Linked DNA regions of Canis lupus familiaris. The protein of the gene in region 2 binds, or shares a complex with, the protein of the main gene of each other region. Links are inferred from orthologs where the notes say so. Each region holds a gene or a part of one and is shown on either strand. Other genes may lie near its edges. The genes, in order: mitochondrial dynamics protein MID49-like and DNM1L.

Region 1 (11,686 bases), on a different chromosome or scaffold from region 2:
CAAGGGTTCTCCACTTCATCGCCAATGCATATTTTCCTTAACTTTTGTTCTGGCCGTCCTGATGAGTGTGAAGTGTTACCTCATTGTGGTTTTGATTTGCATGTTCCTAATGACCATGGACACTAAGCATCTTTTCACATGGTTATTGGCCACTTGTGTATCTTTGGAGAAATGCCTGTTCAAGTCTTTTGCCCAATTTTCATTTGGGTTTTGTTATTGAATTATAGGAGTTATTAATAGATTCTGAATTTCAGGCAGATTTGTGTATTTTAATCTTTCCACAAGTAACTCCTACATGTGCAAGACCAAAAACCGCTGGGGTGGACTACCAAGGTCAGACCTGCCCCAGGTCCTGACTCACCCCGCCTGCATGCCTCCCTGGGCTCGCACCTTAACCCTGAGCCTGAGTGGCCCCTTTTGTAACTGGGCGGTGTTCCTCACCTGGAAGCTCCTTGGTGGAAGGTTACAGCGAGGCCTGACTGCAGTGGGAAGTTCATGAGCAGAACCTGTCGGGTTTTTCCAGGTCTCTTGATGGCCTCAGCCTAGCAGCGTTCAGGCGAGGAGAAGTTGAGCTTTCCCCACCTGTGACTAGAAAGGTGTGAACCCCAGTACTGGACCCCCATCTGCAGCTTGTGCCATCCAGGACCCAAGTGAGAACAACCCCAGCTTACTGAGCGCGAGGCCAAGCGGGTCACACACCACATTTCTCATCTGCCTCCCTGCCTCCGTCTGTGGGTGGAGCTCGAGCCTCATGGAGAAGCGCTTTGCCCCATAAACAGCCAAGCAGGGATTGGTCTGCCACTGTGCCTACACCTTGAAGCTCTGAGAGCATCCACATCTTTCTCCACGCTGAGGTGAGAGCCCACTGGCAGGGACGGAGCCACCTGCCATCCCTCCAAGAAGATGGGAGGGATGCCCCGCACCCCTGCCTGCCCCAGTCTGAAAGACTACAAGAGGGGGGCCGCCCCACACAGCGTTGGAGAGAAGCTGTCCCTGATGCTTACTGCACCTGGAGCAGCTGGAAACTACAAATAAGCCCCAATCCCAGCCTCCCACCCCCACCACTCAACGAGGGCCAGGCCCCGTGTGCGCGGCAGCACGACACCACATCGGGCACTGGCTCTTGGGCCAATGGGAGGAGAACCCTGCTGCCCTTTGTGATAAACTCACAGCCGTCCTTCCTTCCATGGCCTGCCGCAACCTAAAACGTCAGCTGTTCAGACTCCAGGATCATAATGTCCAAGTTCCCTGGACTAGAACACAAGGGTGGCACAGGTGCACCTAGCACGCCAGGTGGTGCCACCCTTCACCCTTGGCTGTTCCTCCAAGGGACCAAGGCCTGCGCCCCATCCCTGCCTGAGACTGCCTGACTTGCTCAGAAGTGGTGCTCCAGGCTAAGAGGTCAGAGTCCAACAAGCCTGAGAGTCTGGCCTTCCCACCAGCCTGAAGGCCCGGCCAAATGAACTATTGTCTCAGGAAATCGGGAGCCATGCGGAAAGGACCAAAACAGCATCCCCGGAGCCATTCCCGTTGTTTGGAATACACTCTGGGCTTTGTCCACTGCAGCCTTAGCTTCAGTGAATTGAGCACAACCAAATTGTAATGTTGCTGGGGTTTCTTTTTTAATATCTTTATTTTTCTAATTACAGAAGTGTCCTTTTGCAAAGGCCCTCATTCTAGGGGGAACAGGACAGAGTTGGAGCAGAGGCCTGGGACTACAGGCTGCCGGGGGGTCCGTTGCAACCCCCGCCCCTGCCCCAGGCCCAGCACCTTCTGGGGCCTGCGACCCACATGAACGGCAGGCTAAATCGCCATCTGAAGGGGAAGGGCCTTTGCTCCCAACACCCAGGAAGTGCTTTCCTTGCACACCTCAGACACCAGAGCCACTTGCTTTTGAAGGCAGATTCTGGCCCCTGAAGCAACCAGGTGGCTCAGCTGACACCAAAGTGAGTTTTCCCGCAGTGCACTCCAGGTATGTGTGGCGAGCCACAGACGGCAGGCACAGCTCGGAGTGGGCAATTTCCATCATCCACCCCCAGCCATAAAGTCTGCGGAGAGGAGGTCAGGAGTCCGCAGCCCTGGGGCAGTGGGGCCAGGGTGGATGTGGACGTGCTCCCCGGGTCCCGCCTCCCAGGGGCACCTGCTCACCCCTTCCTGCCCGCCTGCCAGGCTCAGCCTGGGGCTCTGGGCTGGTGACCAAAGTCCTTCCAGAATGCAGTTTGGCAGGATCTTTCTGGGTCTGAATACTGAATGGTTTCCACTCCCAGGAATGTCCTATGCTATGGCTTATGTGCACAGAGACTTTCTTCAGGGCCTGTCAGTTTAAATACAGTTGTCCCTCTGGTTATCTTTGGGGGGATATGTCCCAAGACCCCCAGTGGATGCCAAAAACGACAGATAGTACCAAACGCTATATACACTGTTTTACTGTCTTTTGCTGTACCTACATACATAGGAGAAAGTTTAGAAATTAGGTACAGTAAGAAATTCACAATAAATAATAATAGAATTATAACAATATATTGTAATAAAACTAACGTGAATGTGGTCTCTTCCTCTCAAACCACCGTATTGTCCTGTACCCCCCCCCCCTTCTTGTGGGGCTGTGAGGCGGTACAATGGCTGCGGGATGAGGTCAGGTGAATGACGTGGGCGTTGTGACCCACCATGAGGCTGCTGTGGACACGATACATTGGGAGGATCACATGCTTCTGGTCTACAGTGACCACGCAGAACCGAAACCACAGATCAGGGGGGATTGCTGTAATAGCAAAGATTGGAAGAACTGGACAGGCCAGCCCTAGGGAATGAGCAGTACCCCCACTTGGGACTATGCCACAGGTAAGTGCTGCAGAGACGGGCCCAGCGAGTGGGTTTATAGAAAGGAAACATTTTCTATATGATAAGATTTATTCTACAGTTGGTGTAGAAGAGAGAGCTTTGTGACGCTGGTCAGCGGGGGGAGATAGCTGGGGCCCACAGTTGGGTTCTAGAGTGGTTTGCTTCGTGCCAGGCCCTGGGCTAACACTGCACACCAGCAGTTACTTCGTACAACCGCCGAGAAGTTGGTATTCCATAATCCCCCAATTTACTGCCAAAAGTACCAAGGCCCCGCCTCTGTCTGCCCAGGCCGGTGCCAACACTCGGCCACCAGGGCAGCTGCTCAAGGCTCTCTGTGCGCCAGTCCCCAGGCCAAGTGATCTGAATGGACCTCGGCTCAGCCAGTCTCCTGCCCTTTGACCCTCCCCACAGCCTGTGTGTGGAGCCGTCCAGGCATCTGAATGCCCCTGGGGCAGAGCCCTCATGACCTCCAGGGGCAGCTCCTGGTCCTGCATCCAGAAGTACACATGTGCTTCTCATGTGTCCTGCGTGCTGGCCCTCAGACGAGGGAGGACATTGGTGCTGCTCGTGGTCCTGTGGTCACAGCTCAGGGCACAGGTTACCTCAGGAAACACGACGGGATGGGAAGGAGAGAAGCAGGATGGGAAAAGCAACTGTGGTGACCGCTGAGCACTCGTGGCCCAAAGCCGTCCCCAGGGCCCACTTGTCATCTGTGGTGACAAAGGATATGAGCCCCAGCCATGGCTCCCGTGGAGACGCTGAGATGCTCCTGCTTCCCTGTCTGGGGAGGGCCGTCCACCACTTGAGCCACAACAAGAGGCCAGGAGATACAAACATGACATTTCTCTGGGTACTGACGTGCCGGCTGATGGGCTTGGGGCAGCCATGCCCACCAGAGAGCCAGCTGGGCCGTGAGAGCTTAGATTTTTCAGGGAAAAAAGTCCCTGACTAGCTGGTTTCCATCACTAAAGTGAAGCATCACACCCGGAAACTGGTAATATTATCTCTCCACACGATCTATTTTTCCAATTAAGCCCTAACTCTTCCTGGTCGATCCCACAAGACCTGTGGCCAAGCTTCCAGAACTCCAAAGAGCCATGCATAAGAGCCCAGCACAAATCACACACCCTCGTTTTTCCTTTTATTCACATTCCTAGTGGCACAGCTTTGCTTCAGCACGAAGAACACCAAAGATGGGAGGGATGCCCGGGAGGGGAGGCGGAATCCCATCCCCGAGTGGGCCTCAGTGTCGGCGGGGAGCGCTCGTGGTGGCTCGGTGGAGGCCGGGCCCAGCAGTAGCCGGTGGCACATCCTTGGCTCCAGGCAAAGCGGGGGGCACTGGGAGCCTTAGGTTCTCCAGGGGTCTCTCTGCCTCCCAAACAGAAAATCTGCCCTGTTGGAGAGAATGGGGCCTTCCCCTGAGGTACGAGGTGGGCAGCACGTCCGACGGAGCTCTGCTCCAGGCTAGAGGGGAGAGCTCAACAAGCTGGCTGGACACGCAGGTGACATGACTTGGGAGACACAGCCTTCAGATCAGCCCCAAAGCTGCAATCCGGGGCGCAGGGGGGTCCCAGGTGACTCTGGCCCCTGGGGGACGACACAAACACAGTGTTTACCACCCAGCACCAGAAGCCTCGAGATGCCTGGAGCTGGCACCCGAGGAAAACGCTAACTCACCCTCTTGACAGATAAACGGAGCTGCCTTTATCCCCCGCCTAGGAGAGCAGAAGCCGGATCGTCCGTGCGTTCACTGCTGGTGACGACGGACCGAGCCCACGGTCCCAGGGTCGCCCCAAGGCCAGATGGGGCCGGGGGAGTGGCCGGCGCTCCAGGCTGCCCCCGAGGTGGCCCAGCCGAGCTCTCTGGGCCCGGGGCCTCCCGCGACTGCTGCCCGCGTACATGCTAACCCGGGGGCTTACAGGGCAGCCCCCTCTTTTTATTTTGGCTAAAGCAAGAGACAGGGTGCTCTCCAGATTCCCGGATGGGAGGCGCGCCCAGCTCACCCGCCGCCGAACGAGCGCCGGCCGCCCCGTCCCCACCCGGCTAGAGCAGCCACTCGGGGGCCTGCAGGCCGCAGAACAGCGCGAAGCCCAGGGCGTCAATCTCCTCGTCCCGCAGGCTCCCGAAGAGGTTCACGCCGGGGTTGAGCTGGCAGGGCAGGCTGGCCCGCTCCAGGCTGTCGACGAGCGCCTCCAGGGCCTGCAGGAAGCGCGCCCCCAAGGCCGCCTCGGCCCAGTCGGCCTCGTGCTCCCCCAGGCGCAGAACCACCTGGGTCAGGTGGCGCCGGTCCAGCCGCCACAGGGATGGGTGGCGGCGGCAGACCCCGCACAGCAGCCGCAGCAGCCGCCGGCGCGTCCCAGCGTCGCGCTCATCCAGGACCCGCAGCCTGGCAGCCTCCGCGGGGTATAAGTCCTGCAGCCAGAGGTTCCCAGCCAACCCCTCCAGGGGCCACGCCAGGAGGACGGGATCTTCGGGACCAGCGCCGGCGACCACCAGCAGCACGGCGACTGTGAGCTCGAGGCGCTCGTGCTGCACCTCAAGCAGCAGCTCCTCAGCGGCCACGCTGGGCCGGATCAGGCACCCGAGCAGGCTGCCGATGGCAGGCCAGTTGACGCAGGAGGCCAGCGCTTTGCGGAGCAGCTCCAGCAGGACGCGGGAAGACAGGTAGCCGCCCACCAGGAAGCGGTCCCAGGGGCTGCTCCCGCGGGGCCGGAACTCCAGCTGAGTCCTGCGCACGGCCCAGCAGCGAGGGTCCCTGGCCACCGTGTCCGCCCCTGGCACCAGGCTCCACAGGCCCGCCTCCAGCACCAGGGGGACCAGGATATGCACGCGCTCAGCCGCCCCCGCCTGCAGCCCGTCGTAGAGCGGCCCGCCGGGCACCAGTGCCCCAAAGGGCAGCTCCGGGAACTTGTTCCGCAGATAGGCCTGCAGCTCAAGGCCAATGTCACCGGCCAGCTGCTTGGCCAGGGCCACGTGGGCCGCGGGGATGGTCACGTGGGTCTGCTCAAACGCCAGCAGCTTCTCCTGGAACGTCAGGCACAGCGGCGCCGGAGAGCTAAGCTGCAGTGACATCTCAGGACCCGTGTCTGTGGGCCCCTCTGCAGAACAAAGGGGTTGGGACCACATCAGGAGGCCCCGTCAGGAGCCAAGAGACCTCCACCCAATTACTAGCTGTGTGACAGCCTGGGCCTTATTTTGTTCAGCTGTAAAATGACCACCTGGGAGAGTGCTTAGCTCAAGTTCTCACGTAAGGTGAGCACGTGATGACAAATTCTCACTGCCCCCAGATCCCCAACGCCCTAAAACAGCTTGGTGTAGGCTGAGAAGACAGGCTCTGGGCTTCAGTTTCCCCATCTGGGGCCCCTCACCGTCACAACACTGCTGCCATGCTCTGGTACCGCTCTCTCAGTCCAGGTCCTGGGGGCACAACCCAGGAGGTTAGGAGGGCAGAGAAACCCTTAAACATGCAGGGAGGCTGCGGCCCCCGAGGAGCAGCAGGGACTTGCCTAGGTCCCAGGCTCAGTCAAAGGCAGAGCCTGGGTTGCATCTCCCAAATGTAATACCAGAGGAGGGCCCAACCGGGTCGGAGGGGATGGGGTGCCACTCACCTGGGGCAGCCGGCGAGGGGTCAGGGGGTGACACGGGCTGGCTGAGGGCTGCAGGTGGGGGCCGGGGCTGTTGACGCGGTGTGGCCGTGAGCAGGTTCAGTTCCTTCCAGCTCTCCTCCAGACGTGTAGTGTCCCCCTTGGCGTCATCCTCATCTCGAGGGCTGGTGGCCCTGTCAATGAGCTGCCGGCAGAGTGACATGGATCAGAGCATCCGAAGCCTGTGTGGCCAGGCCAAGGCCAGGGGCAACGCCAGCCAGGTTGCTGGGGTAGAGAAGCAGGTGCCAGCTTTGGGCACTTCCCCACCCCCTCCCCCTGGGGCCCCACTGTCCTCCTCGGGCAGCCCTAGCTCTGAGCGGCTCAGCCTGGCCTTACCCGCTTCACAGCCAGGGTAGCAATTCCCAGCACGGCGGCTCCGCCCACGCCCAGCACCAGGCGGGCATTGGCCAGGAGGAAGTCCACGGTGCTGCCCAGGACCTCATCACGCTGCTTCCCCCGTTTCTGGGAGAACTCGGCCATGGTCTGTCTGCCTGTAAGAGGATGTAGACATAGACAGCTCTGTGGGGGGGCGGCCAGGCTGGCAGTGGGGCCGACCCCATCATGCTGGGGCTGTCGTGAGTAGAGCTGATGAAGGGAGTTCCTGGGAGTTTCTCAGGAGAAACGGTTTCTTGGGAGGAGATGGGGCTGCCCAAACCCCCACCTCTACCACACTGCAAACCTGCAAATAGCCCACCCACTCCCTAGACAAGGAGCTCATGTAGAAAGGCCCTGAGAGGGATCCCTGGGTGGCGCAGCGGTTTGGCGCCTGCCTTTGGCCCGGGGCGCGATCCTGGAGACCCGGGATCGAATCCCACATCGGGCTTCCGGTGCATGGAGCCTGCTTCTCCCTCTGCCTGTGTCTCTTTCTCTCTCTGTGACTATCATAAATAAATTAACATTTAAAAAAAAATTTTAAAAAAAAAAAGAAAGGCCCTGAGACTTGTGCCAGGTGAGAAAAGGAGGCCCATCTTCTCCATCCCATCCTCAAGGACCCCTGACATGACCTAAGATGGTGAAGTGAGTCTCATCATCGCTATCCCCATTTTAGAGAGATATAGGCTGCCGAACCACACAGTGAGTGGTGGGGACCTGGACCCATCCTGCAAAGTGTCCTGACTCTGGCCCACCCCCAGAGTCCAGTCAGTCTACTGGAGCCTGCAGCCAGCTCCAAGAGGCTGCTTCGTCCTGCTTCTTAACCGGGGCTGGGCATAGGCAGGAGGGAACTCTGGCCTAAAGAAGACACCGCCAGGGGTCCTAGCAGTCTGCCCTGCAGGGCCCCTCAGGCCTTTGACCTCAACAGAGGTCCCCCCGCCACCAGATCTCAATAGAGTAGCCCCTGGAGGGAGAGCTATCAAGTCAAAGGACAGGACGAGTGAGCTGGCCCAGGCTGCCCAGGGAGGCACATCAATGAAGGCTGAGGCCTGCCTGTGGGGGCAGCAAGCAGGGTAACTCCAAAGACCCCAAACAGGACATCTGGCTGGCTCCATCTGTGGAGCGTCTGAGTCTTGATCTCGGGGGATGTGAGTCCCAGCCCTATGTTCGGTGTAGATTACTTAAAAATAAAATATTTAAAATAAGTAGGTAGGGATCCCTGGGCGGCTCAGTGGTTTAGCACCGCCTTCAGTCCAGGGCGTGATCCTGGAGACCCGGGATCGAGTCCCACGTCGGGCTCCCTGCGTGGAGCCTGCTTCTCCCTCTGCCTGTGTCTCTGTCTCTCTCTGTGTGTCGTGTCTCTCATGAATAAATAAATAAAATTAAAAAAAAAAAAAGTAGGTGAAAAATAAAGACCCCACCCCCCATCCCAAACAGAGAACTTGCCCAGTGCCTCTGGACAGGGGCCTCTCTGGGCCTCTCAAGTTTGAGACAATGCAGGGGTAGCGGGGATGGGGGAGCAGCTGTCAAAGACTGGAAACCGAGGCAACAGAGAAGGGAAGATGAGGCTTTGTTCACCTGTAAAATGGCACAGGCGTGGTGAAGGTTTACACGTGGGGAACCCAGAACTATAAGGCTGGGTAGGCCTGGGTACTTGGGAAGTGGAGACAGAGATCCCACCCAGGCCTAGGCCCCCAAACTCCAACCTCTGGTTCTTCCGGGGGATTTCCTGCCTCAGGCCCTGAGAGCAGAGGGGGCGTGTGGCCGGGGTGCAAGCTGAGGCCCGGAGGACCAGTCAGACACCAGGCAGCGCTGTCTCTCTGCGGATGCCTGAACCAGATGACCGTGGGTTCGCAGCCAGCCCAGGCACCAAGGACTTCTGTCCTCTCGGATCCGCTGTGGGTGCCCAGGGCTCAGTTGCCAGGTGACGAGATGCCTAGAGCAGCTGAAGCCTGAATCACCACCGGAGTCAGCCCCAACCCCCGCCCCCCGATTTGCCCAGAGTAAAAATAGGACAGGAGGGCTCTGGGGCCTGGGCTGGTCAAAGGCTAGGGGAGTGCCCCACCAAGGCCCGGCGGCCGCTTTTAGTTACTTCCTCCTCGATGATCAATACTGCAAGCCATCTCCAGCGGAGCCCAGAATCCACTTGCAAAGTGTAAAAAGCTTTCAATACCTCCTGCCTGAACGGGACTCAGCCCAACCCCTGGCGGGGTCGCGCAGGCCGCAAACCGCAGCCTTCCAACTCCCGGAACGCCGAGAAGGCGCGGGTGGTTAAAAATAACCCGACTCCGCGCTGCCGGCCCGGCCCCCACCAGGCGCCGGGAGACGCCGGGAGACGCCGCCCGCCCTTCCCCTCCTCCGCCACACCTGCTGCCCGGGGCCGGGGCTGGGCCGAGCGCGCAGGAACCCCGGGGAGGGCCTGGGAGGGGCCCATCCGCGCGGAGGGCACCAGGCCCCGAGAAGTGCACTGAGGCGCCCAACACGTAAAGGGGCAGGCTCGACACTGGAACTCCGGCCCGGGGCGCAAAGCCCTTCCCCCCTTCCCCGGCCGTGACCCGGGCCCCAGCGGAGACCACGCCCCCGACCTGCGTCCGACGCACGCTCCACGCCCCGGTCTGGGGGACCCGGGCCGCTCAGCCGCACTCCGGTCGCACGGGCGTCGCGGCTTCGGCGCAGCGACCGCAGGACACAGCGGGTGCGACCCTGGGTCCTGAGCCCGGGCCCGCCTGGGAATGGAACTCGGAGGACCCGGGAACCGAACCCCGAGGCCCCGGGGGCGGCCCTGACCTCCGACGCAAGCAGACGAACAAGCCCCGGGTCCAATCGGAGCGCCCGAGGCCCCGCCCACGTTCCAAAATACTGCGCGGCTCAGCCAGTGAGGAGCAGGCCACGCCCCCCGCTGACGAGCGCGGCCCCTCGGGGGCGGGCCTCCCGGACGCACTCGGGCTTAAAGGCGCAGGGCGGGGTGGCGACCGGGACCCGGGTCGGGATGAGCCGGACCCGAGGGCCTGGTGGGAAGCCGCGTGTGCTCGCATGGGAGGCTGCGGAGTAGACAGAACTGTCTGGGCTCGCGTTGTTTCCGGGGCCCGGCAAACAGGTGGTACCTGGCCCGAAGGCCCGCTTGCCTGACCCTTGAGGTCACCTCTGAGAGCGCAGTGTGGCTTTATTATTTTATGTTGGCGCGCGGGGCACACAGCGTGACCCAGGAGGCTGGCCCTGCCACCTGCGCCGTGTAACCCTGTGCGGGCCACTGCTCCGTTCTGGCCTCAGTCTTCTCTCCCCTGAAGTGGGTATCACAAGGCCCCTCCCCCCGCGAAGGGTGACCGTGCATAGAACCTGTGGCTCACTCGGCGTTTATTTCTTGGGGACCTATTATGTGCCGGCTGGTGGGGGCGCAAGGAAGTAAAGAGAGCCTGAATGATAACGTGCCTCTTATCGAGCGCCTGCTGTATGCTGCGACCTACACCTGAGTTTGTTTCTGGCGACAGCCTTAGGAAGCATTTCACAAATGAGAAAGCTGAGGCAGGAGCAGACCTGGGGTTAGCCCAGAGCCCTAGGACCCAAGGCCTAGGTCCGTGCGCCCCCGGGCCTGGGTCCCTAATCGCTGCAGAGGTCACGGCCGGACTCCAGCGGCTGCGGCTGCCCCGGGGGCGGAGCCCGGGCCTGCAGGGTCTGCGGCACCCCCCGCCATAGGTCGCTGAAATCAGCGTGGAGGTTAGAAGCCTGCGGGAGCGCAGGGGGAGCCCGGACTTTTTCCGAGGGCCCGGGGTCAGCGGACGGCGGGGGAAGCCGAGGCCCGGGGAGGCCCGGGGAGGCCCGGCGCTCCGGGTTCCCCGGGTGACGCGCGGGGCCGCGGCCGGGGCTCCGCCTGCCGCCGGGCCGGGCGGGGGCGGGTTAAAGGGGCGGGGCCGGCGTCGGCCCAGCCCGCGGCTCGCCCCGCCGCCCCCCGCGCCCGCAGGCCCGGCAGCGAGAGCGGCGCCATGGAGGCCACCGGGGTGCTGCCGTTCGTGCGCGGCGTGGACCTGAGCGGCAACGACTTCAAGGTGAGCGGGCCGTCAGGGCGCGGGGCCGGCTTCCCTCCAGGCCGTGTCTTCCGCCCGGGCCCGCGCCGCTCCCCGCTTCCTGTCCCGCCCGCGCCCGGCCCCGCGCCGCCCGGGACCGCGGGAGGGAAGGGGGGCTGCCCCGGAGCTCGCGGCCCCGCCCGGAACGGCCCCCCGACGCGTCCGCTGCGGCTCGGGAAGACCCGGGCCGGGGGGGCCGGGGGGGCCGGGCGGGGGCCGGGGGGGCCGGGCGCGCAGCGGCGCGGGGAGTGTGGGCTGGGGGCCCCGCGCGCCCCGGTCCGGGGGTCCGGGGGTCCGGGCCCCGCCCGCGCCGCAGACTGGCCTGGGGGTCTGCGAGCTGCTCCCGCCCTCCGCGCCCTCCGTCCCCGCCCCTCTGAGGTCACACGCCCAGCCAGGCCCTGACTCAGGGCCGGCCTTGCTACCGGCTGTCGGTCGGGGGCGGGTCTGGAGCACACTCATCGCGGCCCGAGCCTGCCGCCGCCACCCCATCCTGTGTGGTCTCGGGCAAGTCACTTCCCCTCTCGGAGCCCGGGTTTTCTCATCCGGTGGAGGGGGCTGCCTAGTAACCCCTCTGGGGACTCTGGGGCAGGTGCAGCCACCTCGGCTGACGGTGGCCTGAGCAGCTGCGGGACTGGTAGACTAGGGCCACAGGGCAGGTGAGGCGGTTCTAGAGGGTCAGGGAGGAGCAGGGCAGTGCTGGCGACCAAAGGAGGCGGGGCAGCAGTGGAAGTGAGAGCTGGCCCCGCCCGGGGAAGGGCAGCCTGGGGG
Region 2 (12,936 bases):
TAATCAAAAAGGAAAGTTGAAATTAATTTCCCCAGCATTGCAGAGAGATTAACTCCTTCAGCTGTCTGCCTTAACAAATTGGGTATTAGATGAGTACTAAAACATCAAGAACCAAGGTGAAAAGCATCTATTCAAATAAAATTCCAATGATTCTGTGCTGTCACTGGGTAGACACTGAGATCAGGCTAACCATATCCTGCTCCTCTCAGTCTGGGGGTTCCACTCGCTAGGGAAACCGCCAAACAGCAGCGCTCACATTCTGTACTTCCAGGGATGGTTTTGTACTCTTTGTAAACCTCCATGGGGACTCGCCACCATCCTGAGCCAAGGATCCAAATGCACTTCTAATGACCAGAAAGGGAAACAAAACACCCAGCCAACACATAGAGACATAAGGCGATTTCAAATGCTTATCCCCTATTTTTGCCAATTTCAGCATTTTTAAGGATAGCAGTAACCCAGAAAAGAGCAGCAAGCAACCATGATATTACAGTGTTGCATCATCAAACAAGCAAACTACAAGTGGCCAAATTACCCTGATGTACTAGAGCTAAAATAGTTTGCCATATAAAAGCTCAGTTTACCGGGCCTGATTATTAAACTAATTTTCCATTAGATCAGTGGTGCTATATAGTATAGCAAAGCTAATCACAATCGTCAACACTTAACTCCATTCTTATGAAAACCTAGAGCTGTAGGCTAACAGTGATTAAAATATGAAGAAAACTATACTTCATGCCAGAATTACTTGTGTCCTTTGAAATAAGAGTGAAGTTTACTTCTTTTTCTTCCCAATACACTGGAAAACATGGCTTAAACTCTAAAGTACTCCTATTGCTATACAAAAAAATTTCTTTAGTGGTTACCATGATGATTTGTGAAAATAGCAGCTCACCATTTCATTTGTAACAGGTAACCGCTTACGAAGAAGACAAGTCACTACTTCAACTATGGCATCATGAAGTTTAGGAAACCGCAACAATTCCTATAAATGATAGAAGAAAGAAAAATTTAACGGTCTACTTTGTTTAAAGGAAAATTAAATAATCACCAAAATACTGAATTAGATTTTAAGCAACATATAGCATTACACTTCAAATCACTTTCAGATACAGAAAAATGCAGATTTTTAACTTATTTTTAGCCCATCTTACATACTTCCTCCCAATCCACAAAACCACCACTTCCCGTCTTTTACTACTTAATCTGACACGTTACATTTCTCAGTTACCTGTGTACTATAATTACTACAGTGCTGAATAATCCTTTGCATTTCCTCATGAACCAGTTCCACACAACGCAGGCTGGGTTCTTCCAGACGTTTGATTTGCCGCTTGACCAATAGCTCAAATGAAACTTCAGGCACAAACAAAGCAGGACGAGGACCCTAAAAAAATTTTTTGAGCTCTTATTATAGCTATATTAAATTTTAATTCTTCCCTAAGTTAAAATAAATCATGTTTTTTGGTATTTTTCATGAAAAGTGCTTCCTGATATTAAGTATGAGGGCAAAAATACAATTCCTTTAAAGATATAGCTAATGGGTTAAAAATTATAATAAATCCTTAACTTTTTAAAAAATTTCTAAAAGTTGAGCATACTCACAGTAGCATTTCTAATGGCAGTCAAAATGTCAATGGTGTTAAGGCCACCTAGTGGGTCAACAGATTCTAAAGTTCGCCCAAAAGTCTCATGGAAAATATAACATATCCTAGCACCACCGCATCTGAAAGGCAATGAAGTATATGGTTTCTATTATTATTAAAAGGGAAAGAAGCTACAAGTCAGAAGCCTTTCTATAAGCTTTTAAGGTCTTATTGTCTGATAAAGTCTCAGATAAGCAATTACTTTTAGATCATTTCCATGTGTTCTCAACTCCATTATGAACCAGTTTCTGTAATTTTTTTCTTTTAATGAAGAAGAGTCATTCCACAAAAGGCATCCATCACATGTATGTATTTGTTTGCATGCACACAGACACACATACAGAATAATGGTCTGTCCAAAAACATTAGGTAACTAAGAACTATTAAACATCTTTTCTCTGCCCTTAGTTTCCTTGACTATGAGCTTTTTAAAAGACAAGAAATGATATCTTGTTTATTTCTGTTTATTCACAATTTAGAGAAAAGATAGGCAAACTTTTCCTGTAAAGGGCCAGATAGTAAATAGTTTAGGCTTTTCAGGCCATATGGTCCCTGCCACGACAACTCCATTCAACTACTGAGCACAAAAGCAGCTATAGACAAAAATACAAACAAATAAGCGTAGCTGTGTTCCAGTAAAACTTATGCACACTAAAATTTGGATCTTAACATGTCATGAAATATTCTTTGAATATTTTTCAACCATTTAAAAATGTAAAAATCCTTCTTGGCCGATGGGCTACAGTTTTCTTCTGCCTTAAACAAATTAAATCTCTACTATCCACTACTTTCTTACCGTTGTCTAAGCAGAAGGTACCAACCTACATTATGTTAAGTGAAATAAGCCAGACACAAAAGACAAAGATTATATGATTCCCCTCATATAAAATATCTAGAATTAGCAAATTCATAGAGACAGAAAGTAAATTAGAGGTTACCAGAGACTGGAGGAGGAGGGAACAAAGAAATACAGAGTTTCTGTTGGGGTGATGAAAATTTTAGAAATAGACACCATCTGATGCTTAGACAATATTGTGACTGTAACCAAATGCTATTAAACCACACTTAAAAATGGTTAAATTATCCATTTGCCTCCAACCGATCCTTTCTCCAAATAATTTTCCATAATAATTAAAATTATCCTTCTAAAATGGGTACTCCTCTGACTGAAAGTGTTTTATTTTCTATGGCAGGAAGTTCTCTAAATTCTGAAGATACCTGACTTTCCACAATCTTGTTCTCAGATGCCTTTGCTGCCTAACTGCCTGCTATGTCCTGCCACCGTACATGCCATTCCCCAAATACACCTTTTGCATTATTCTTTGCTGTCCCAAAGCCTAAAACACTCTTCTACTTATTGCTTCCCTATATCCTATTCAGAGCCCAACCTGAACACATTCTTAACTATGGCACTTACCCAGTCTCTCAGAGAAATGTAAATGATCTCTCCTCAATGTTTTAAGGCTTAAATGATTACACAGATATCTGCTTTATTAACTACTTATAAAATTCCCCATATAAAAAAAATTCCCCATATATAAGCACTTTTCCAGATATGCAGTATATTAAATAAGTATTTAAATAAAAATACTTGATTATACACCTGTTTGCCACTGAATCATGCCTTGTGTTATCTTATTCTACCTTACCCACTAAGTGCTTCAAAGGCTCATCTTAGTAATCTGTATTTCCCCTCAATATGCCATATGTTTATATATATAATATATATAATATTATATATTAATATTATATATATTATAATATGACTAACCATTCACCAATTAATTAGTAATTAGTTAAATACTGTCTTTACAGAATTAACTCACATAACAGGCCACCTGTGTCACACAAAAGTACACAGAATACACATACCAATGTGTGTATAATTTCACAAGTGGTAAAATCTGAATAAGCTCTGTGGGCTGTACCCTTGGTCCATTTTCTCATTTTGTTTCTGTACTACAGTTATGCAAGATGTCAACACTAGGGAAGATGGGGTGAAAGATTAACAGGACCTAGGAAGGCATATTTATTCGCAACTTCCTGAAAGTCTATAATTATTTCAAAATTAAAAATTTTTTTTTAAGTGAGAGTTCAGATAAATGAACATTCTTACATATTGCTAACAGTAAAACAATATAATCCACTAACAGTATGGCAACAGGAAGGGATTTTTAGGATGTTCTCCCTTTGATATAGTAATTCCATCCTAAGAATTTAGCCTAAGGGTTTACTCAGATTCATGCCCCCAAAATAGTCGATCAAAACACTGTTTATATTTAAATGAAACTATCAGTAGTAGGGTACTGGTTCAAGACATTAGGGTGTATCTAAAAAGCAAAATACTATGTAAATTTTAAGACTGGTAATAGAAATGTACAATTAATATTAGTTGTTTGTGACACAATGATTTAAAGGAATGATTCCAAAACAGCATGATAGTGTTTTGATCTGATTTTTGAAGATGTGTAATACAGGCATTTATAATATTTTATCATTGCATTGAAAAACGTCTAAGTTCGTGCCAAAATTAGCAGGGATTATTTCTGGATAGTGGAATTAAGTCATTTTGTCCTTCTGTTCTTTTTGTCTGCATTTTCTTTTTTTTTCCCCATGAAAAATCAGTGTGTCTATTAAAGAGACAAATATTTAAAAAGTTAAATTATCAAAAAAAAAAAAAAAAGTTAAATTATCAATTATATTTAAATGCTTATCAAAGTCTTGTCTAAAAAAAAAAACAAATTTACTGTGCTTTACCTAGTTTACAAAGCATTTTAACACATATGTCAGACAGCATCCTATTATTTCTGCAAAACACTATTCTGCAAATAACAAATCATGATCAGAAAATCTCAGAGTTAAAGTCACTGTTACAAAAGCAAAAGTAACCCAGCATTTCAGATAAGCAAACCCATAGAGAAATGTTTTACTTACAGCTCTGAAGTTTCAATATATTTTGCAGTTCCTTCAATAGTGTTACAATATTCTGTGGCGAATTTGGTGATAAGCTGGAGCAGAGTAGCACTTTTATCGTCGACCGGCTCACCATAGCTATTGAGGAGAGACTGATACTGGGCAGCTAGAACATTTATCCTGGTTTTCAGCTCTGGTAAGCAATCTCTGATGTGATGCATCAGTAACCTAACAAAGGTCAGAAAGAAAGGATTCTTACAGTAAAGCTGTGTATTCTGAAGACCCAAACAGGTCAAATTTTTAATGTGCCAATAATGGTAAAAGCTGTCAAATAATTTGTCCTGGCAGGAAATAAAGCAATATTAGGCTGGAAGTAAATGCTTAGTGTGAAAAAAAGACACGATGATACTTGAGCCCACACTTTTTACATTTTTCAGACTAAGTAATCATTTTCACTGTGCTGAGTATCCACAGTAAAACAGAAGTCAGAAATCAAAATTATGTAGATAGAATTATACTGAGTAGCTTACTTTCTATGAGGTAATTGTAATTAATATAAAAATAATTTTTTCAATTTATATCTGGCTCTCTAGCAATCGCTACAATTTGATGGGTTGAACACGAACAAAGAACTTAGTCAACACTTTTTAAATTTGCCTTCAACCCCAACTTATTAAGATCCAAGTCCATGAGCCTTTATTTAAGGAATACGACAAAAGTAAGAGAAAACAACTTTCATTTCAGTCATTTACAAATCATCTAGAAAGCTTTTCCAGTCCCTCTACCATCAGTGGGTATTAAGGATTCAAGGTATATACTTTAAATTCTTTTTATGGATAAGAACAGAAGACATCCGAAAATAACAATTGGTTATGTAAAAAATAGGCATTTTAATTTAGTTCCTGAAACCCCAAGGGGAAATTAGTCATCTGCTATTTAGTTCTATTATCAAAAGAGTAGACTGTCAAGAACTTCATAATTAAGACATTTTAAAATTCCCTTGAGCACTCCTAGACTACATAATTTAATGCCAGTCACCTGAACAGAAAGACATCTATCTACATTACAAGAACCTACTGTACAAGAAACAAAACATGAAACTGTACACACAAAAATGTTATGAAAAGGAACTAAAAATGAGAGCTCACAGACACCTATTGCCAAACCAAAAGACCATATTTTCCAAGAGTAAAAACGTTACCTGTTTAAAGTCCTAGCAAGATACTTTGTTCCATTTCTGTTAGCCAGAGATGGGTATTTCTTTTGAAGGAAAGCATATTCATCACGGATTGAATCAGTTACACTCTTCTTATTGTTAATGTCTAGTTGGCTCCTAAGGTTGAAAAATAACAAACTGTTTAACTAAAGTCAATTGTGGTCCTCTACATACCTTAGATGATGATGGTAGTAGCACCAGACATTGCTTGTAATGCCTGATATGGATTGTGTTATCTAATTTTTGCAGTAATTCTTGCAGTAGGTATTATCCCATTTTACAGCACAGGAATTGATGCCCAGGGACATTAACCTACACAAGATCACATGTTAAATACTTCCACCGAGATTCAACCTGTGACTTGTAAGTAATACCTGAATAGTTTAGGCCTCACTGTTACCATTAACTACTGCCAAAAGCAGCAGTCTGAAGTAACAGGGTAGACAAGTGAAAAAAAAGTATAAATATGATAACCAGTAGTATATTTTATCCATATACAGGTATCTAATTTCTATCAAAAATAATTAACTTCAAGAGCAGTCATTTATAGATGCAAGTCTTACGCCATGAAATGGGAGGGGGCAGATTAAAAAAAAAAAAAAAGCCAAACTATGGATAAGATAGGACATACAAAGCAGACAACTTAATTGTAATGGACCCTGGGTATCACTTTAGTAAAAACAGTTTCATTTTAAAAGGCCTGAGATTTAAAGATGTTAGCTGGCATTTAAATCCACATTAAAGGGGTATCTGGGTAGCTCAGTTGGTTAAGTGTCTGTCTGACTTTGGCTCAGACTCATGATCTCAGTCTCCCTCTTCCTCTTTCAAACAAATAAATAAATCTTTAAAAAATTTAAATCCACATTACATATCTAGTTTATGGACAAAGCAGGAGTAGAACCCAGATCTCATGTTCATTTCAATGCTTCCTACTTTATAAAGGCTTTGGACTAAAGATCTTCATTTGAAATCTTTCACATGTGCGTTTGGTGGATGTATAGCTTGAGTCTTCTGATTATAAAATAAACATCATCCCCTACCCTCACAAAGATGTTATAAGGATTCAAAGAGCTACCATTTGGAAACTGCTAACAGAAGAGGATCTAAAATATAATTAGACACTCAACAGGAGTTTCTTTTCTATAATTTTTAATACCAGCTATTTATGATTAGGATACCTTTAATAAAATTTCTCCAAGTCATTCTGGTAATTAAAAAGGATCACTAATACGAGAGGTGTTAAACCAGTTTATTAAAATCCTACCACCTTATTACAGACTCTGTCTCGAATGTGTACAAACTAAATAATACTTTTTTTTTTCTCTTCCAGTGCACTCCTCATATATAACATAATAGGCAGAAATTTTTCAAGCCTGGCTATTAAATTTTCTTCCATTTTATGGACTGCTTACTTTAAAAACACTTTCCATTACAAATACCCATAGGAGGCTTTCGTGAATCTCTCTCCTCTCTTCAGAGTAATAAATTCCTAGCAATACCAAGATTATATAAAAGGGAAAAAGAGGGATAATATCACATTTTAAACTGCTTTTTAAAATTCAGATTTGCGGGCGCCTGGGTGACTCAGTCGGTTAAGCATCTGCCTTCGGTTCAGGTCATGATCCCAGGGTCCCTGTTCAATGGAAAGCCTGCTTCTCTCTCTTCCTCTGCCTGCCACTCCCCCTGCTTGTGCTCTTTCTCTGTGTCAAATAAATAAATAAACTCTTTTAAAAAAATAAAAATAAAATTCAGATTTCCTTTGAAATGGGAATGCTGCAATTCTTATCCCATTCTTGATTGCTAACCTGTTAACTACTCCAATTATTCCAAGTTTGACTGGTATAACCCTTCCCATCAATACATCCATGGCATCAGTACCCGCATCCATGAGGTCAAGTTTAGTGATTACAGCTAAGGTTCTGCGACCTGGTAAATGCAAAAAACAAAAAACAAAAGAAGAAAATGATCCATTAAATAAAGCTATTAGGTATTAATAAGGAAAAATCCTCATCTATTAATCCCTCCTTAACATTATCTCTGTCATTTTAGTAATGCTTTTCTGACCTTTGCTTACAAATACTTTTTAAAAACTAATTATAGGGGTACCTGGGTGCTCCTGTATGAAGCAAAGCTACATTTATTAGCAGCAATAATAACTAATCCCTGCAAGCTGCCATTTTATATAAAGAAATGCACACCACAGCATTAGTCAAATATCATACACTGACCCACAGTATGAACTAAAATAGGACTTACAAACATAATCCTTAAAGTTATAAATGCTTCTTAAAAGGATTTTACCTTTATTTCTAAGAATTTCCTCTGCCCTGTCTAAATGTTTTCTACCTCTGCAGAATGTAGGTAACACAATCATCACAATGATTATGAGAGTTAATAATTCTTAGAAGTCAACCATTTGGGATCCCTGGGTGGCGCAGCGGTTTGGCGCCTGCCTTTGGCCCAGGGCACAATCCTGGAGACCCGGGATCGAATCCCACATCAGGCTCCCAGTGCATGGAGCCTGCTTCTCCCTCTGTCTGTGTCTCTGCCTCTCTCTCTCTCTCTGTGACTATCATAAATAAAAAAAAAAAAAAAAAAAAAAAAAAAAAAAAAAATTAGAAGTCAACCATTTAAAAATCTAAATCATTTTATTTATACAAAACAAGTCCTCTTTACAAAACCATCTTATAATTTTAAAATCATTAGGCAACCATTACAAATATGGATATTATGTCAAGTGCTTTTGCCTTGTCTATATAGCAACTAACCCATTAAAGTTTAATTTCCATCAGAATTTCTATTTGTAATTATAAGCAAAATAGGAACGCATTATTTTTTAAATCTTTATTTATAGCTAGAGAAATTACTTTTAAAAATTAATACTCCTTTCTTGAGGGTAGATTTACCACTGTTAATCAAGGATCTCATTAAATATTAATATCTGTCCTTACCATCTGGATCTACCTCTCTTGAAATCTTAAGTGCCTCTGATGTTGCCATATCTGTATTAGCAGCAGTGACAGCAAGGATGATGGAATTTGGATTACTGATGAACCGAAGAATGAGCTCTCTGATCTGAAGCTCGATATCCTTAGGTTGATCACCTACAGGCACCTGAACCGAACAGATGAGCAAGGAACTAATAATAAAAATCAACTCAGCTTCCCCCCCGCCAATTTAATCTACAGAATATAGGTATTACTCCATTCACAGATAGTTAAAATGAAGAACGTATATAGTACTAGCATTATATATGAATTTGGTAGTATTAAAGTCTCAAAACATATTTCTTGCAAATATCAAAAGTTTACGTGTAAAGGATTGGTCAATGCCCAGAAGCAAATCCATTCGTTCATTCAATTAGCAAGTATTTATTGGCAACCTACTATAATTCAGGCACTGTTATACATCAGATGTCACAGTAGTGATTTAAAAAAAAAAAAAAAAAAAAGACCAAGATTCCTGTCTTCATTAAGTTTATATTTTAGTGATGAGAAGTAGCTAATAAGCAAATACATATATATAGTATCTAGGTGGTGGCAGAGCTATGGAAAACATTAGCAGAACAAGGAGCTAGGGAGTGATCAGATAAGGTTATACTTTTAAATAATTACTTTAGGATTATGCTTTTAAAAAGAGAAATGAGGGAAAAAGTCACTCAGATAATGACATTTAAGAGAATGAGCAGAAACTAAAGGAGATAAGGGAGAAGTACATGCAGATATCTGAGGGAAGAATATTCCAGCACAATGAATAGTAAGGGCAGAAAACTCGAACAGAAAGAGTTAGAATAACAGGGATATTTTAAATCACTTTTAAGAACTTAAGCTTTTATTGTGAATGAAATGAAAACCCACTGGAGGGATCCCTGGGTGGCGCAGTGGTTTAGCGCCTGCCTTTGGCCCAGGGCGCGATCCTGGAGACCCAGGATCGAATCCCACGTCAGGCTCCCGGTGCATGGAGCCTGCTTCTCCCTCTGCCTGTGTCTCTGCCTCTCTCTCTCTCTCTCTGTGACTATCATAAATAAATAAAAATTAAAAAAAAAAAAAAAAAAGAAAACCCACTGGAGATTTTGAGCCAAGGAATGACATAATCTAATTTCCACCTTAATAGCATCATTCTGGCTGCTTAAGAATAAAATTATGAGGAAGACCTATTAGGAGGGCTATTGTAGTAATCCAGCTGATAGGATAGTGGCTAGATCAGGACGGTAGCTACAAATTTGTAAGATAAAATGGAGTTCTGGATAGATTTTAAATGTAAGGAAAACCAAAAGGAGGGGATCCCTGGGTGGCTCAGTGGTTCAGCGCCTTCCTTTCGCCCAGGGTGTGATCCTGGAGTCCGGGGATCGAGTCCCACATCGGGCTCCCTGCACGGAGCCTGCTTCTCCCTTTGCCTATGTCTCTGCCTCTCTCTCTATGTCTATCATGAAAAAATAAATAAAAATATTAAGAAAAAAAAGAAAAGAAAACCAAAAGGATCTTCTGAGAAAGTAGGGTGTGGAATAAAACGTGTCATGTCAAGGATGACTACAAACTTTTTGGCCTAAGAAAGAAGAAAGTTGCCATTTATTGAGGTGGTGGAGACTACAGAAGTATTAAGTAAGATTGAGGGAATAGGTAAGAAATTTAGCATGAGACACATAAAGTTTGCCTATTAGACACTTCAGTGTACGTGCCAAATAGAGAGTTGGGATATACAAGTCTGGAGATGTTTAAATGCTGTCAGCATACAGACATTCATATATTTAAAGCCATAGTTTGGATGAAATCAATGGTGTGGCGGGGAGGGTAGCGTACCCAACTGACAAGAGGTCTAAAAATAGCTCTGGGCACTCACTGTGGAAACACTGGGAAGATAAGAAACCAGCAAAAGAGACAGAGAAGGAGTGGCCAGTAAGACTGGAGAGAAACCTGCAGAGTATGGTATCCTGGAAACCAAGTAAAGAAAATATTTCAATGAGAAGGGAGGGCTGGACTATATTCAATGCTGCTAATAGATCAACTGGGGGGGGGGGGGGGGAAGCTGATTATTCTCATAAGGTCAAGCAAAAACGACCACAATTGAAAACAAATATGACCAAATCCACAATGAGTAACAACTAATCTTTACCTTGGTCATTCCTGGCAAATCCACAAGTGTCAGATTGACAACATTGGGTGAAAAAATCTTAAGATGAATTGGCTCAGGGCTTACTCCCTAAAAATAAGTTTTAAAATATATTAAAATCACATTAAAATTTCAGTGAAATATAAATTGCTAAAGTATACCTCACTTCAAGCAGATAGACATTAGATGCTTTTAAGTATGAATTAAACTATGAACACTTAAACAATCAAAACCTGAGGAAACACATCAAGTAAGGCAGCCAGCCAATATAGCAGGTGATAATCTTATCCAATTCTGTAACATCGATATACAAAAATTTATTTCCCCTGCATTATTTTACATTCTTGTCTCTTGATTCTGAACAGATACAACTTCTTAAATATGTTTAATAGACTTAGTGCTGAACTAAAGAAAACTGTATCACTATCCAAATTTATGAGGTTGAGTAGACAGTGAGGCATGGGCAAACAAGTTATCCATTTCAACTTGGTTCCTAATCTTTGACTATCAAGTAGCAAGAGTGTGTATTTTAAGAGATTCTTCAGAAAATTTACCTAAATCTTCAGATCCCTGAATTCAAGTAGTAAGAATCCGGATAATGAGAGATAACCTCTATTTTCTCTCCCCTGGACTGAGATTATTTATTATACAGACTGCCTTCTCTTCACCACTAGCCCTCTAAAAATTTTGAAGCTGAGCCAGCTACAAGTTAAAGGGCACACAGAAAATATGCATAACTTGTCTTTGCACATGCCCTTAAATGTCCTTTTCTCTTACCTACTTTCTATCTTCTTTCATTAATCCATTGAAAATTCTAACTTCCCAGAAAGCTTTTTTGGAACATCCTTTACTTTGAGATATATTGGGTTACTCCAAACTACTTTTCTACCTCAAATACACCAGTGTTCAAAGTCATATGCTGATATTCAGCATACCTACCTAGGTTGTGTGCTTCTTAGGCATTCCCTTATCATGTTTAATACAAAGCTTTGCTCAACTGCTTCTATAATTCCAATCTCACAGATATTTTAAATCCTTCAGGGTCTTATGTTAGGCATATGAAATCATTTAGATATTTGTACATATAAAATTACTTACATAAGATCAAAGTATTTACTTCATTACAAATATGACTTAGGAAAGAAGAGACTTTTCACAGATTTGGGGGTAGGGGACTTCTCATCCTTTGGACACTGTGGGTAAGAAAACCTGCTAGGTAAGTATATCACATCCCCACCATAAATTAAACATCTTGTTGGTATACAGACTATCTTTCATGACATTCAGTTTAATGTAACTAAAACTTTCTGAAACACTAGTCACATCCACTCAATTCTAGCCCTATGTGAAATTACCACCAATTCCTAAATTCAGTAAATCCATAGGGATGCAGGAGAATTCAGATTGGTATTATGATTAATAATACCCCCAAAGTCAAAATTATCCCTGAAAACAGTTACAGGACCAAGGAGAAGCTAATCTAGTTTCTTGCCACTTTTTCTACCTCTTCTTTTTACAACACAATTGTTAGAAATTCAGGAAAGTATGGTAGCAGCAGCAGCAACTCAGTTACCAGTTCAATAACGAACAAAGCTTAGTCAGTCAGAGAGATAATCTCCTTACTAGGCATAAAGAATTGATACGGCTCCAAAAACGCCTGTCAGGACAACCTCTCTAGCACAGCATCTGGCAGATTAAAGGGCTCAATGAATACTTGAATATTCTGGGTTATGGCCCACTTGTGGGATTAAAGGGCCTCTGGAGGGCAGCCCCAGTGGCTCAGTGGTTTAGTGCTGCCTTCAGCCCAGGGTATGGTCCTGGAAACCATTCAGTCCATCAGGCTCCCTGCATGGAATGGAGCCTGCTTCTCCCTCTGCCTGTGTCAGTGTCCGCCCCTCCAGCACCCCCGTCTCTCATGAATAAATTAAATCATTAAAAAAATAAAAAATAAAGAGCCTCTGGATAATACAAGAATGGAGATTTTTAAAAAAGGGGGGGGGAGGGAACAGAGAATGGTAGCAAGAATAAAAAAAGAGAAAACAGAAGCATTTA

The links.
Region 1: the proteins of DNM1L (region 2) and mitochondrial dynamics protein MID49-like are in contact, whole or in part, in a cryo-EM structure (PDB 5WP9), measured with the Homo sapiens proteins. The link is inferred for Canis lupus familiaris from reciprocal best matches to the Homo sapiens genes DNM1L and MIEF2. Residues at the interface, in NP_036192.2 of Homo sapiens: Asp190, Met191, Ala192, Thr193, Ser194, Leu197, Lys198, Ile199, Arg201, Glu202, Gly223, Thr224, Asp225, Asp228, Arg233, Val234; in NP_631901.2 of Homo sapiens: Val213, Asp214, Thr215, Val216, Arg218, Arg226, Leu230, Arg235, Val245, Gly246, Tyr248.

What each region holds. Positions count from the first base shown.
Region 1 is NC_049226.1:41,504,857-41,516,542, forward strand, and holds mitochondrial dynamics protein MID49-like, read right to left. Parts: upstream 9,413-11,686; 5' UTR 9,292-9,412; coding exon 9,225-9,291; intron 9,211-9,224; exon of another isoform or gene 9,031-9,210; intron 9,025-9,030; exon of another isoform or gene 8,436-9,024; intron 6,977-8,435; coding exon 6,822-6,976; intron 6,631-6,821; coding exon 6,450-6,630; intron 5,940-6,449; coding exon 4,885-5,939; 3' UTR 4,845-4,884; exon of another isoform or gene 4,429-4,844; 3' UTR 2,412-4,428; downstream 1-2,411. Other genes in the region: FLII (protein flightless-1 homolog), read left to right, coding at 10,838-10,900. UniProt on the Homo sapiens protein: Mitochondrial outer membrane protein involved in the regulation of mitochondrial organization.
Region 2 is NC_049248.1:30,390,700-30,403,635, reverse strand, and holds part of DNM1L (dynamin-1-like protein), read right to left. Parts: intron 10,975-12,936; coding exon 10,888-10,974; intron 8,890-10,887; coding exon 8,727-8,889; intron 7,702-8,726; coding exon 7,581-7,701; intron 5,893-7,580; coding exon 5,761-5,892; intron 4,788-5,760; coding exon 4,581-4,787; intron 1,727-4,580; coding exon 1,606-1,726; intron 1,388-1,605; coding exon 1,232-1,387; intron 986-1,231; coding exon 896-985; intron 1-895. UniProt on the Homo sapiens protein: Functions in mitochondrial and peroxisomal division.